3 linked regions of the Callithrix jacchus genome follow. The protein of the gene in region 2 interacts with the protein of the main gene of each other region in a pairwise test. Links are inferred from orthologs where the notes say so. Each region holds a gene or a part of one and is shown on either strand. Other genes may lie near its edges.

The links. The genes of interacting proteins can lie anywhere in the genome.
Region 1: the proteins of CIB3 (region 2) and SERTAD1 interact in binary tests that used the Homo sapiens proteins (3 or more experiments, as listed by UniProt). The two-hybrid records come from large-scale screens. The link is inferred for Callithrix jacchus from reciprocal best matches to the Homo sapiens genes CIB3 and SERTAD1.
Region 3: the proteins of CIB3 (region 2) and KLF17 interact in binary tests that used the Homo sapiens proteins (3 or more experiments, as listed by UniProt). The two-hybrid records come from large-scale screens. The link is inferred for Callithrix jacchus from reciprocal best matches to the Homo sapiens genes CIB3 and KLF17.

The regions. Positions count from the first base shown.
Region 1 is NC_133523.1:35,982,807-35,986,824, reverse strand, and holds the start of SERTAD1 (SERTA domain-containing protein 1), read left to right. Parts: upstream 1-1,165; 5' UTR 1,166-1,291; intron 1,292-3,882; coding exon 3,883-4,018. UniProt on the Homo sapiens protein: Acts at E2F-responsive promoters as coregulator to integrate signals provided by PHD- and/or bromodomain-containing transcription factors. Stimulates E2F1/TFDP1 transcriptional activity.
Region 2 is NC_133523.1:14,787,375-14,790,944, reverse strand, and holds part of CIB3 (calcium and integrin-binding family member 3), read left to right. Parts: intron 1-1,392; coding exon 1,393-1,504; intron 1,505-2,788; coding exon 2,789-2,936; intron 2,937-3,570. UniProt on the Homo sapiens protein: Acts a an auxiliary subunit of the sensory mechanoelectrical transduction (MET) channel in hair cells. Plays a role in regulating hair cell MET channel localization and function.
Region 3 is NC_133508.1:80,798,969-80,803,019, reverse strand, and holds the start of KLF17 (Krueppel-like factor 17), read right to left. Parts: upstream 2,854-4,051; 5' UTR 2,780-2,853; coding exon 2,699-2,779; intron 1-2,698. UniProt on the Homo sapiens protein: Transcription repressor that binds to the promoter of target genes and prevents their expression. Acts as a negative regulator of epithelial-mesenchymal transition and metastasis in breast cancer.

The DNA of each region.
Region 1 (4,018 bases), about 21 Mb from region 2:
GAGTCTCACTCTGTCATCCAGACTAGAGTGCAGTGGCACAATCTTGGCTAACTGCTACCTCTGCCTCCTGGGTTCAAGTGGTTCTCCTGCCTTATACTCCTGAGTAGCTGGGATTACAGGCACATGCCACCACGACCAGCTGATTTATTTTGTAGTTTTAGTAGAGACGGGGTTTCGCCATGTTGCCCAGGCGGGTTTCCAACTCTTGACCTCAGGTGATCCATCTGCCTTGGCCTCCCAAAGTGCTGGAATTATAGGCGTGAGCCACCACACTCAGCCCCAAACCATTTTTTATCTTTTCTTGACATTGAATTTCTGGCAAAATAGCCCAGTCGTGCTGTAGAGTGTCCCACATTCTGGATTTGTCTGACTGTGTTTAATTTGTTCCTCTCTATTGCCAGTAAACTGGAGGCTGAATCTAAAGGCCTGGGGAGATTCTGCTTATGCAGTGAACTGGGAGACTCCACAGGGTATGTCCTAATTCTTATTAATGTACTTCCTAATCCTAATGCATTATGGTAGGTGGCACCCAGTGTCCCGCCATTGGTAATGCAGAATTTCATTACATGATTAAGATTATGAGGGCTACATCATAAAAGGATTTCATCCTTTGCAGTTAGCAAATAACCTTTGAGATGATGCTTTAGAGCCTGTCAGGACCCTATCTCTAGACTGTGCTCTTATAGATACCATCCTATTTAAACTTTGCTGTGAAGAGGTAGGCAAGACTATCCTTATTTAACTTCGTGTAGCTTGGAGAGGTCGATCAGTTTTCCAAGGTCACAAATCTACTGAGTGGTGAATCCGGAGTCGGAATTTGAACCCGGGCATATCTGTAGTGTAGACCCCTGTCGGGGCGTGATGTGTAAGAACCTTAATTGCCATATTTGGCAGGTGCATGGGTAGTTGTGAGGGGCTCGTACTTTGAGAGGCAAAAGGCCCACCCGCCACCATTCCCCAGGGTAAAAAGCCACCTCTTTTCACCCTTCACTAGAGCAGCTGCCCGGGCATGCGCCCTGAAGCCAACCTCCCCTCCTTCAGAATCCGCCCCCTACAGGCTCCGCCCATCACCGTCCAGAGCCAATCCCTGGGGCGAAGGGAGGGGCAGCCACGAGAGTGGGCGTCGCTAAGGTTAGTTAGGAGTCTGGAGTCGTGCGCTCGAGTCAGAACTGCGTCTTGCGATCCAGGTGCCGGTTGCTGGAGGAGAGTGAGCAAGCGATGCTGCTGCCGCCGTTTCCTGATTGGCTGTGGATGGCTACCTCTTTGTTCTGATTGGCCGCTAGTGAGCAGGGTATGTAAATGAAGGGGCCTGGGGAGAGAAGGGGTGCCAGCGGCCGGGTCCTTTACGAAGTTCGATCCCTGGGTCCGACAGGTGCCCGTCTGGGCTGACCGGGATCGAGACACACGGGCCTCTATGTGCCGTCTGCCCCGGCCGGGCCGGGTGAATCACGCCGCAGCCCGAGAAGGGGGCGGAGGCGCCGGCTCCCTGGCTCCGGCTGCGTGACTCACCCGCCCCCGCCGCCGCCGCCGCTTCGGGAGGAGCCGCCTCCACTGCCGGAAGCGAGCGGAGGCCGGGCGCACAGAACAGCCCGCCGGGGGTCCCGGCTCTCACGGCCCCGGGAGGCCGGCAGGAATCACAGCCGGGAAGCGGGGCAGTAGGAGTCCTGGGGTCAGAGGGGCCAGAATCCCCGGGGGAAAGCCGGCCTGGGCACCGCTAGGGGGCGCCGGGACCCGGGGGCGGAGTCGGGGGTCGGGGGCGGAATTCCTGCGGTTCCTCACTCCTGGGACCGCGGGGAAGGGGACGGAGACCCAGTTTTGACTAGTGTGATGGTCCACTCTTAAGATCTTGCTAGGCAGGGTCCCGGGAACTGGACCCTGGACCCTTACTGGCCCAAAAAGGTAGGTAGCGCCAGGGGTCCAAAACTCCAACCCCACCCCCAGCCACTCCAAGAAGAGAGTGGGTCCTCAAACTTATCTCAGTGACTGACCCCAGTGCCCAGCACGATTTCCCGGCAAGCCCCGTCGATTCTGCCTCCCAAATAAATCGTGACTCGACCGACTTCCTTCCATACACTACCAGCTCCTCCTCCAGGCCATCACCATCGTCCGTCCCAACCGAGTACAGCTTACCAGTGGTTCTCAGATTCCCCCTCTTCCTCCCCTCCCCCCAGTCTTCCTCAAAGCAGCCATGGGGGGACGGAAACCCAGTCAGCTCACAACACCACTCCCCTCCCTGCTCAAATTCCTTTAATGACCGCCCACCACGCTCATGATAAAATACAGACTCCCTACTTCTGCATATGTGGCTTTCTGTGACCTGGCTGGTGCCCGTTTCCTCTGCTGCTCCCCAATCTGGTCTCCTACCATGTCACTCTCTGTATGCCAGGCATGCTAGTCTCTTTCAGTTCAAGCCCATCCAGCCTCTGGGTCTTTGGTTGCCTTTTTTTGTTGATCCCTCCTCCCAGAATCCTTTTCCCAGGGGGTCTCCCTTGGCTGACTTCTCTGGCCTGAGGGCTCCATTCAAATGTCACCTCCTCTCGGGAGCCTCCTCTGATCATCTGAAAGGTCTCCAGGACCTTTTAGTGTCTTCCTGTAATTCTCTGTACATTTCCTGTGTTTGCTTATTTATTTACTGTTTGAAATATATAGTAGACAATAAATATTAAACTATGTGAAACTAGTTTAGTATTTATAATTTATACATAATTACTTATAATAAACTATGTGAAACAGCTGCTTTTGTAGGGGAAAGGTGAATATTGGCCATTCCACATGGTTCACTGAAGACATTATAATGTTATCATTAAGAGTATTTATTGGTGGTCTGGGCGAGGTGGCTCACACCTGTAATCCCAGCACTTTGGGAGGCCTAGACAGGCAGATCGTGAGCGCGGTCAGGAGTTTGAGACCAGCCTGGTCAACATAGTAAAACCCTGTCTCTACTAAAAATACAAAAATTAGTGGGCGTGGTGGCGGGTGCCTGTAATCCCAGCTACTGGGGAGGCTGAGGCAAGAGAATTGTTTGAACTTGGGAGGCAGAGATTGCAGCGAGCCGAGATCTCGCCATTGTACTCCAGCCTGGACAACAAGAGAGAAAAATTGTCTCTCAAAAAAAAAAAAAAAAAAGGTGTGGCAGCTCAGTTATAATACCAGCACTTTGGGAGGCTGAGGCGGGAGGATGGCTTGAGGCAAGGAGTTTGACACCCTGAGCAACATAGTGAGACCCTGTCTCTACAAAAAATAAAAGGAGAAAGAAAAAAGAGTACTTATTGACTGACGCAGGAGGATTGCTTCAGGCTAGGAGTTTGAGACCAGCCTGGGCAACAAAGTGAGACACCATCTCTATTTTTTTAAATAAAGAAGTCCATAAATATACTTTATAAAATATAAAATACAAAATGTAAGAAGTCTATAGGCTGGGTGCGGTGGCTCACGCCTGTAATACGAGCACTTTGGAGGTCGAGGTAGGCAGATCACTTGAGGTCAGGAGTTTGAGACCAGCCTGGGCAACATGGTGAAACCCCATCTCTACCAAAAATACAAAAATTAGCCGGGCGTGGTGGCTTATAGCTACTCGGGAGGCTGAGGAACGAGAATCACTTAAACCCGTGAGGCAGAGGTTGCAGTGAGCTGAGATCATGCCATTGCACTCCAGCCTGGGCAACAGAGCGAGACTCCATCTCTTAAAAAAAAAAAAAGTCTATAAATATACATCTACAATTAAATAAAAATTGCCTATATCTTTAAAGTTCCCTAACAAAAGCTAGGCACAGAGACGCTAAGTGACTTGCCAAAGATCCTACCTGCAGCAGCTGTCAGATCCAGGCTTTGAACTTGACATTTGTTTTCCATAACTTGACTTTAACTCCCTGCTCTCTGCAGATGCTGAGCAAGGGTCTGAAGCGGAAGCGGGAGGAGGAGGAAGAGAAGGAATCTCTGGCAGTCGACGCCTTGTGGCTGGATCCTGGCCACGCAGCGGTGGCACAGGCACCTCCGGCTGCAGCCTCTAGCTCCCTCT
Region 2 (3,570 bases):
CTAATTTTTTTGTATTTTTAGTAAAGATGGGATTTCCCATGTTGGCCAGGCTGGTCTCGAACTCCTGACCTCAGGTGATCCTCCTGCCTTGACCTCCCAAAGTGCTGGGATTACAGGAGTGAGCCACTGCACCCAGCTCCTTCCTCCCATTATGAGGAGGGGAAGGGAAGATATGAAAATGAGGGTACCAGCCGGGCGCAGCAGCTCACACCTGTAATTTCAGCACTTTGGGAGCCGAGGCAGGCGGATCATCTGAAGTAGGGAATTTGAGACCAGCCTGACCAACATGGAGAAACACTGTCTCTACTAAAAATACCAAAAAAAAAAAAAAAAAAAAAAAATTAGCTGGGCATGGTGGCGCATGCCTGTAATCCCAGCTACTCAGGAAGCTGAGGCAGGAGAATCGCTTGAACCCAGGAGGCGGAGGTTGAGGTGAGCTGAGATCACACCATTGCATTCTACCCCAGGCAACAAAAGGAAAACTTCATGAAAGAAAGAAAGAAGAGAGGAAGGGAGGGAGGGAGGGAGGGAGGAAGGAAAGAAGGAAATAGGAAGAAAGAAAAAAGAGAGAGAAAGAAAGAAAAAAAAGAAAGAAAGAAAAGAAAGAAAGAAAAAGAAAACAAATGAGGGTATCTTTGGAGGCAGGATCTTGCTGATAACATGATGATATCCAGAGATGGTAAATTATGTAGGATTGTCTGAATGCTTGCTGTGATCTGGCCATAAGCACCCTCCCTTCTCCCAACTTCATCTGCCTTATAAACTCCTACTCATGCTTCAAAGCCCAGCACCAATGTCCCCTCTTCCAGGAACCCCCTTCTCCTCCCTAGCTTGCTTTCCCCAGTCCAGTCTCCCTGTGTCCTGTGGCCCTCTCTGCACCTTGGTCCTGCCCCGAGGGAGGTAGAGTTGCCTGTGTCAGACTCTGTATGCTTGAGGTCCAGGCCCAGGGCTGAGGGTTCTTGAGGACCTGGTATCACTTGGTCTGCAGTGGGCAGCTGTGAATGTGAAAGAGAAGGGACTTGGTTGGGCACGGTGTCTCGGGCCTGTAATCCCAGCACTTTGGGAGTCCAAAGCAAGTGGATCACCCAAGGTCAAGAGTTTGAGACCAGCCTGACCAACAAGGTGAAAACCCATCTCTACTAAAGATACAAAACAATTAGCCAGGCGTGATGGGATGCACCTGTAATCTCAGCTATTCAGGGGGCTGAGGCAGGAGAATAGCTTGAACCTAGGAGGCAGAGGTTGCAGTGAGCTGAGATCGAAGCACTGCACTCCAGCCTGGGCGACAGAGCAAGACTCCGTCTCAAACAAACAAAACAAAACAAAAAAGGGACAAGCCTCTTGCCTACTCCCTGCCCCCAGCCTCTCTCAGCTTTTTTCTCCCCACATCAGGCTCTTCCATCGGTACCAGGACCTGGCCCCGCAGCTCGTGCCCCTCGACTATACCACCTGTCCTGATGTGAAGGTGCCCTACGAGCTCATTGGCAGCATGCCCGAGCTGAAGGTATGCCCAGGCCATGGGACAGGCAGGGGAAAAATTACTACAGATGTCTCTCGTTGCATTCTTATGAGGTGGGTGTTGCAGTTATCTTCATTTTACAGATAAGAAAACTGGCTCCGAGAGGTTAAGACACTTGTTCATGGTCACACAGCTACAATGCGACAGAGGCAACGTTAAAACCCAGAGCTCGCCAGTGTGGTGGCTCACGTCTGTAATCCCAGCACTTTGGGAGGCCGAGGCGGGTGGATCATGAGGTCAAGAGATGGAGTCCATCCTGGCCAACATGTTGAAACCCCATCTCTACTAAAAATACAAAAGTTAACTGGGCATGGTGGCACACCCCTGTAGTCCCAGCTACTTGGGAGGCTGAGGCAGGAAAGTTGCTTGAACCTGGGAGGTGGAGGTTGCAGCGAACGGAGATCGCACCACTGCACTCCAGCCTGGCAACAGAGTGAGACTCTGTCTCAAAACAAACAAACAAAAAACAAACCTCAGTACAGGGTGTGTTGCATGTCAAGTACTCAGAGAATGTTAATTCTTTTTGTAACAGGAGCTGCTAAATGCAGGCTTTCTCAGTAGGATGTTTGACACATGATTTGTGCCTTTGAGGGGAACTCGTGGATTGAGTGACTGTGAGTAGGATTGATTTTATTGGAAGTGACAAAAACCTTATTTGAGAGGGACAGAATGGACTGGATCAGAATGGATCGCCCCTGAGCAACAACAAAAAAAATCCAGGGGCAGGGACAGTGTCAGGCATGGCTGAAACCAGGGGCTCTGATGATGTGCTCAGGAATCTTCCCCATCTCTCGGCTTCTCCCTGGAAGAGGTTTCAGTCTCAGGGAGCCTCTCCTCTTGAGGCTGTGAAAAGACCTCTCAGTCACTCAGCTTTAGCTTCTGTGAGCTCTGCAAGCAACAGAAATCAGATCCTCTCCCTCCCAATTTTTCAGAAAAATGTCCCAGGGCAGCCTCTGATTGGCTAATTTGAGTTACATGCCCATCCCAGAGCCAATCACTGTTGCCAGGTGAATGGAACTCTATGATTGGCCTTGCCTGGGTAATATGGCTGCTCCAAGAGCTGGAAGTGGGAGTCAAGTTTGCTCAGACCACAGGGGCAGAAGAAGGTGGAGTTGTCCAAAGTCCTGTCCGGGAACTGTGGGAGAGAGTGAGTCTTGACGGAGGGTACTTGGAGGTTCCCATAAAATGGGTGCTGACAGTGAAACCACATGGAGCCCTAGAGACCCTGGGTGTCGGAAGATGGCCTCCCAGCTTCCTTTCTCTCCCCAGGATAACCCCTTCCGCCAGAGGATCGCCCAGGTCTTCTCTGACGATGGGGATGGCCACATGACCTTAGATAACTTTTTGGACATGTTTTCCGTGATGAGCGAAATGGCTCCCCGTGACCTCAAGGCCTACTATGCTTTTAAAATTTATGGTAGGTGCACAGCCCCGGGGTTGGGGATCATGAGCATGGGGTGGACAGTGGGAACTGGGTGGGGGGCACCTCCATCACATACATCTCCCCAAGGGCTTTGAGACCCTGTGTGGTCCGGTCCTCCACCCCACTCCAATGCCTCCCCACCTCATTTTTTTGCTAACTCTATTCCAGCCACAGTGGCTTTGCTGTTCCTCAAACACACCACACTCTTTCGGCCTCTGGGCCTTTGCCTCTGCTAAACTCTCTGCCTAGAACACCTTTCCCCTGGTTCCTTCTTTATTTATTTATATTATTTATTTTTTTTTTTTGAGATGGAATTTCACTCTTGTTGCCCAGGCTGGATTGCAGTGGCTCAATCTTGGCTCACTGCAACCTCCACTTCCTAGGTTCAAGTGATTCTCCTGCCTCAGTCTTCTGAGTAGCTGGGACTACATGCATGCACCACCATGCCTGGCTAATTTTTGTATTTTTAGTAGAGATGGGGTTCTACCATGTTGGCCAGGCTGGTCTCGAACTCCTGACCTCAGGTGATTTGCTCACCTTGGCCTCCCAAAGTGCTGGGATTACAGGTGTGAGCCACCGCGCCCGGCTCTCCTGGCTCCTTCTTTTTTGTTTTGTTTTGTTTTGTTTG
Region 3 (4,051 bases), on a different chromosome or scaffold from region 2:
ATTTATTCTGCCTCTCCAAGAAAAAAATTATTTCAAAATTACCAAATGACTACAGTTAAAACCTTCTTCCTACTTTACAGAAGAATACAAACTAATAAATGTAGAATGAATGGTGGAATTTGAAAATTTATTTTGCGACCATATGCAGTGGCTTGCGCCTGTAATCCCAACTACTGGGGAGGCTGAGGCACGAGAATTGCTTGAACATGGGAGGCAGAGGTTGCAGTGAGCCGAGATCACACTACTGCACTCCAGCCTGGGAACAGAGTTGGACTGTCTCAAAAAAAAAAAAAAAAAGGAAAATAAAATTTATTTTGTAACCCCTAAGGAAATTTGAGGAAAAATTTAAACTTAGTGTTAAAGCCAGTAGGTGACCCTGGCCAGGTATGGTGACTCATGTCTGTAATCCCAGAACTTTGGGAGGCCAAGGCTGATGAATCATGAGGTTAGGAGATCAAGACCATTCTGGCCAACATGGTGAAATCCTGTCTCTCTACTAAAATACAAAAAATTATCCAGGCATGATGGATGGTGCATGCCTGTAGTCCCAGCTACTCAGGAGGCTGAGGCAGGGGAATTGCTTGAACCCAGGAGGCAGAGGTTGCAGTGAGCTGAGATTGCACCACTGCACCCCAGTTTGGCAACAGCAAGATTCCGTGTCAAAAAAAAAAAAATTAGGTGAATGGCTGGTAGAGTACTGGACAATGGATACATACAAGGGAGAATCACACAGATTACTTTCTGACCACAGGGTAAACCTTAATAGAAAGCTTAATTAGGCTTTTCACTACCTTAATACAAGTATCACCAGATTCGGGTAACCAGATGTATCTCCTGATGTAATGCAAGATGAGGCCTACCGTACACGAGGCACTCTTGCCAAAAATCTTGAATCCAATTAAGCTGTAAGATCTAATCCTAATTAAAGGTAATACAAGTGACAGAAGATAAAGCTAAATTATCACGAGGAAGCAATCTGATATCTCCAAAAGAAACATCCTGTAACACAAAAGTTAGCATTATGAAAAACCTAATCTCAATCATGAAAAAATAAAACTATTCTTCTAACTTCAGAGACTCAAGGGACATAATCACCAGATGCAGTGTGCAGTCTTAAATTCTGGTTTGAACAAACCAGCTACAAAGTATCTTTAGGAATAGCTAGGGGCATTTGCATAAGGCTGCATCTAAGATGATTTAAAGGAATAATCAGCTGGGCGAGGCAGCTCATGCCTGTAATCCCAGTACTTTGAGAGGCTGAGGCAGGTGGATCCACTTGAGGGCAGAAGCTAGAGACCAGCCTGACTAACTTAGCAAAACACCTCTACTAAAAATACAAAAAATTAACTGGGCGGAGTGGCACACACCTGTAATCCCAGGTACTTGGGAGGCTGAGGCATGAGAATCGCTTGAACCTGGGAAGTAGAGGTTGCAGTGAGCCCAGATCACACCACTGCACCCCAGCCTGGACAACAGAGCCAAGACCCCGGCTCTCTCTATATATGATATATCATATATTAAAGTAATATATTAATTATTAATATATTAAATAATAAAAATAATATATCCAATTTTGATAGGTTTGATTATGTGGTTTTGGCTATAGATCAAATGTTCTTTTTTAAAAAAAACCCTAGAAGAGTTGGGAAGATCTTGTTTTATTTTTTAATATAATGAATTTTAGAGACACCTGGATTATCACAAAAGCTTTCTAACTATTGTCCTTGAATCCAGCCCACATCCACCAGGGCACTCCTTTGAAAATGCAAATCTAATGGAGCCAGATCATGTTTAAACTCATCAAGGGCTTCCTACTGCTCTTGGAATAAGCAAGCCCTGAATGACCTTAATGGTGTCTCTGGGCGCTCCCCCACCCCACCACCCCTCCCCCCATCACTGTCTAGACACTGGTCTTTCAGTTCCTCCTAAGAGGAAGCAGCCACCTCTGGTCTCAGACCTGAAAAACCTTCACTTGACCAGTTCTGTTCTCTAGTCCCAGACCAGATTCTCAGCTGTCTCCTAAGCTCCCAAATCAGGTCAAACACCTCCGGTATCTGTTCCCATGCACCCACGACTTCTCCTTCTCGTATGCTGTACATTTCCAATCATTCAGCTAATGATTTATTTATTTATTTATTTATTTTTAGAGACGGGGTTTCACCATGTTTGCCAGGCTGGTCTTGAACTCCTACCCTCAAGTGATTCACCCGCCTCGGCCTCCCAAAGTGCGGGGATACAGGATTGAGTGCCTGGCCTCAGCTAATGATTTATTAATAAAATTTTATATCTATCTGTTTTATGGTAAATTCATCATCATATTCCAAGGGTCCGGCAAAAGCCTACCACTTAGTAGGGCTCCAATTAACATTTTCGGTTTTTTTTTCCTGGTCGTTTTCTGCTCACTTCCTAACCTGATATTTGCTGTTCTGCCTACTCACGTCCCTCGCCAGAAAGTTGCCTGGAACCTTCTTACCCTCCACGCGCCCAACACGAGCTCTACTGCTGGGCGAACATTATTGGAATAAACGACGTATGATACACCTCAATCTTCCAACCCTCCCTTTCCACCCTTCCCTTGCAACCCCTCCCCTCGGGTTTCTGCTTCCCTCGCCTCCCCTCTCCTCCACGGCCTCCCCGCCCCGCCGGCCCCCACCCCGCCTGGCCCTCCCGGCCTGCCAGGGGCTGACACCTGACTCACCTGGGCGGCCTCGTGCGCCGCCTGCCACCGGCTCAGCTCCCCAGTCTCCTGCTCCATTTCAGCCTGCGCGCGGCTGTACATGAAGACTTGGTGAGGTCTATGCTGTCTCCTGAACAGACGGGGCACCTGCCACCACGGCGTCTCAAGCGGGTATCGGGACATCACCACGCCACAATCACCTTCTATTTACCTATTTACAGCTGCGCCAGGGGGCGGAGTCAACCCCACCCATCCCTCCCTGCGCCGACCCCGCCCTGCCCCAGGCCACCCACGGGCCCTCAGCAAGCCCCAACCAAGGCAGCGTCACTGACGGCCACCGTAGGCCTTGACCGCTTCTTAAAGGAATTTTGTCCGCCCACCAAAACCACCCATTCCACCCTTCAGTCTGAGCTACCGTTTCACCCAAGTGGAAGCTGGGGACGCGCAGGTCTCAGACTTCAGCCAGGAGGAGGCTGGAGAGAGAGGCAAGGCCGGGTGTAGGGCCTTCTGCTGAGAGGAGAGCCTCTGCCAGCACTCTACCAGGTCGGGATCTTGCCATAAACTTTGGGAGGGCTGGAGCTTTTCTGCTATAGGCCGGACACCTCTGTCCCTTGTCTGTACAAAAACTGACGACTGGGAGCTTCATGGCACAACCTATTTATTCTGCAGTGTTTACTGAGTGCCCAGTATGTGTTGGGCCCTGATCTCAGAATTAGGAGTAAAATGGTAAACAGGAAGAACAAAGTCCTTGCTGGCAATCTCCATCTTACATGGGCAGACAAGAAATGAGTAATAAAGCTCATAACTATTATCATTTTAGATGGTGATGAGTGCTATGGAAAACCGAAACAGAGAAATGTGAGCTCAAAGCTACATGCCTCAAAGGAACCAGCCAGAGAAAGGTCCAAAGGCTCTAAGGCAAGAAAGAGCCGGACAGTGCTAGAAGGCAATTGAAGGCAGGGCAACCACAGTGATACCACAAGGGCAGTGACATGAGGACAGAGGGGTAGGGCCTTGAGGACCATAGAAAGGAGTTTGGATTTTATTCTAAGTGTGATGGGAAAGCACTGATGGATGTTAAACAGGAAATTGGTATGATCTGATATATGTTTTTAAAATAAACCATCTGGCTCCTCATCGATTATAAAGGGCGAGAGGGATGCAGAGAGAGCAGTCAGAAATCTAAAGGAGCAGCTGGGTGCGGTGGCTCATGCCTGTAATCCCAGCATTTTGGGAGGCCAAGGCAGGCGGATGATGAGGTCAGGAGTTCAAGACCAGCCTGCCCAACATGGTGAAACCCCATCTCGACTAAAAATACAAAAATTAGCAGGGCATAGTGCCACATGCCTGTAATCCCAGCTACTCAGGAGGCTG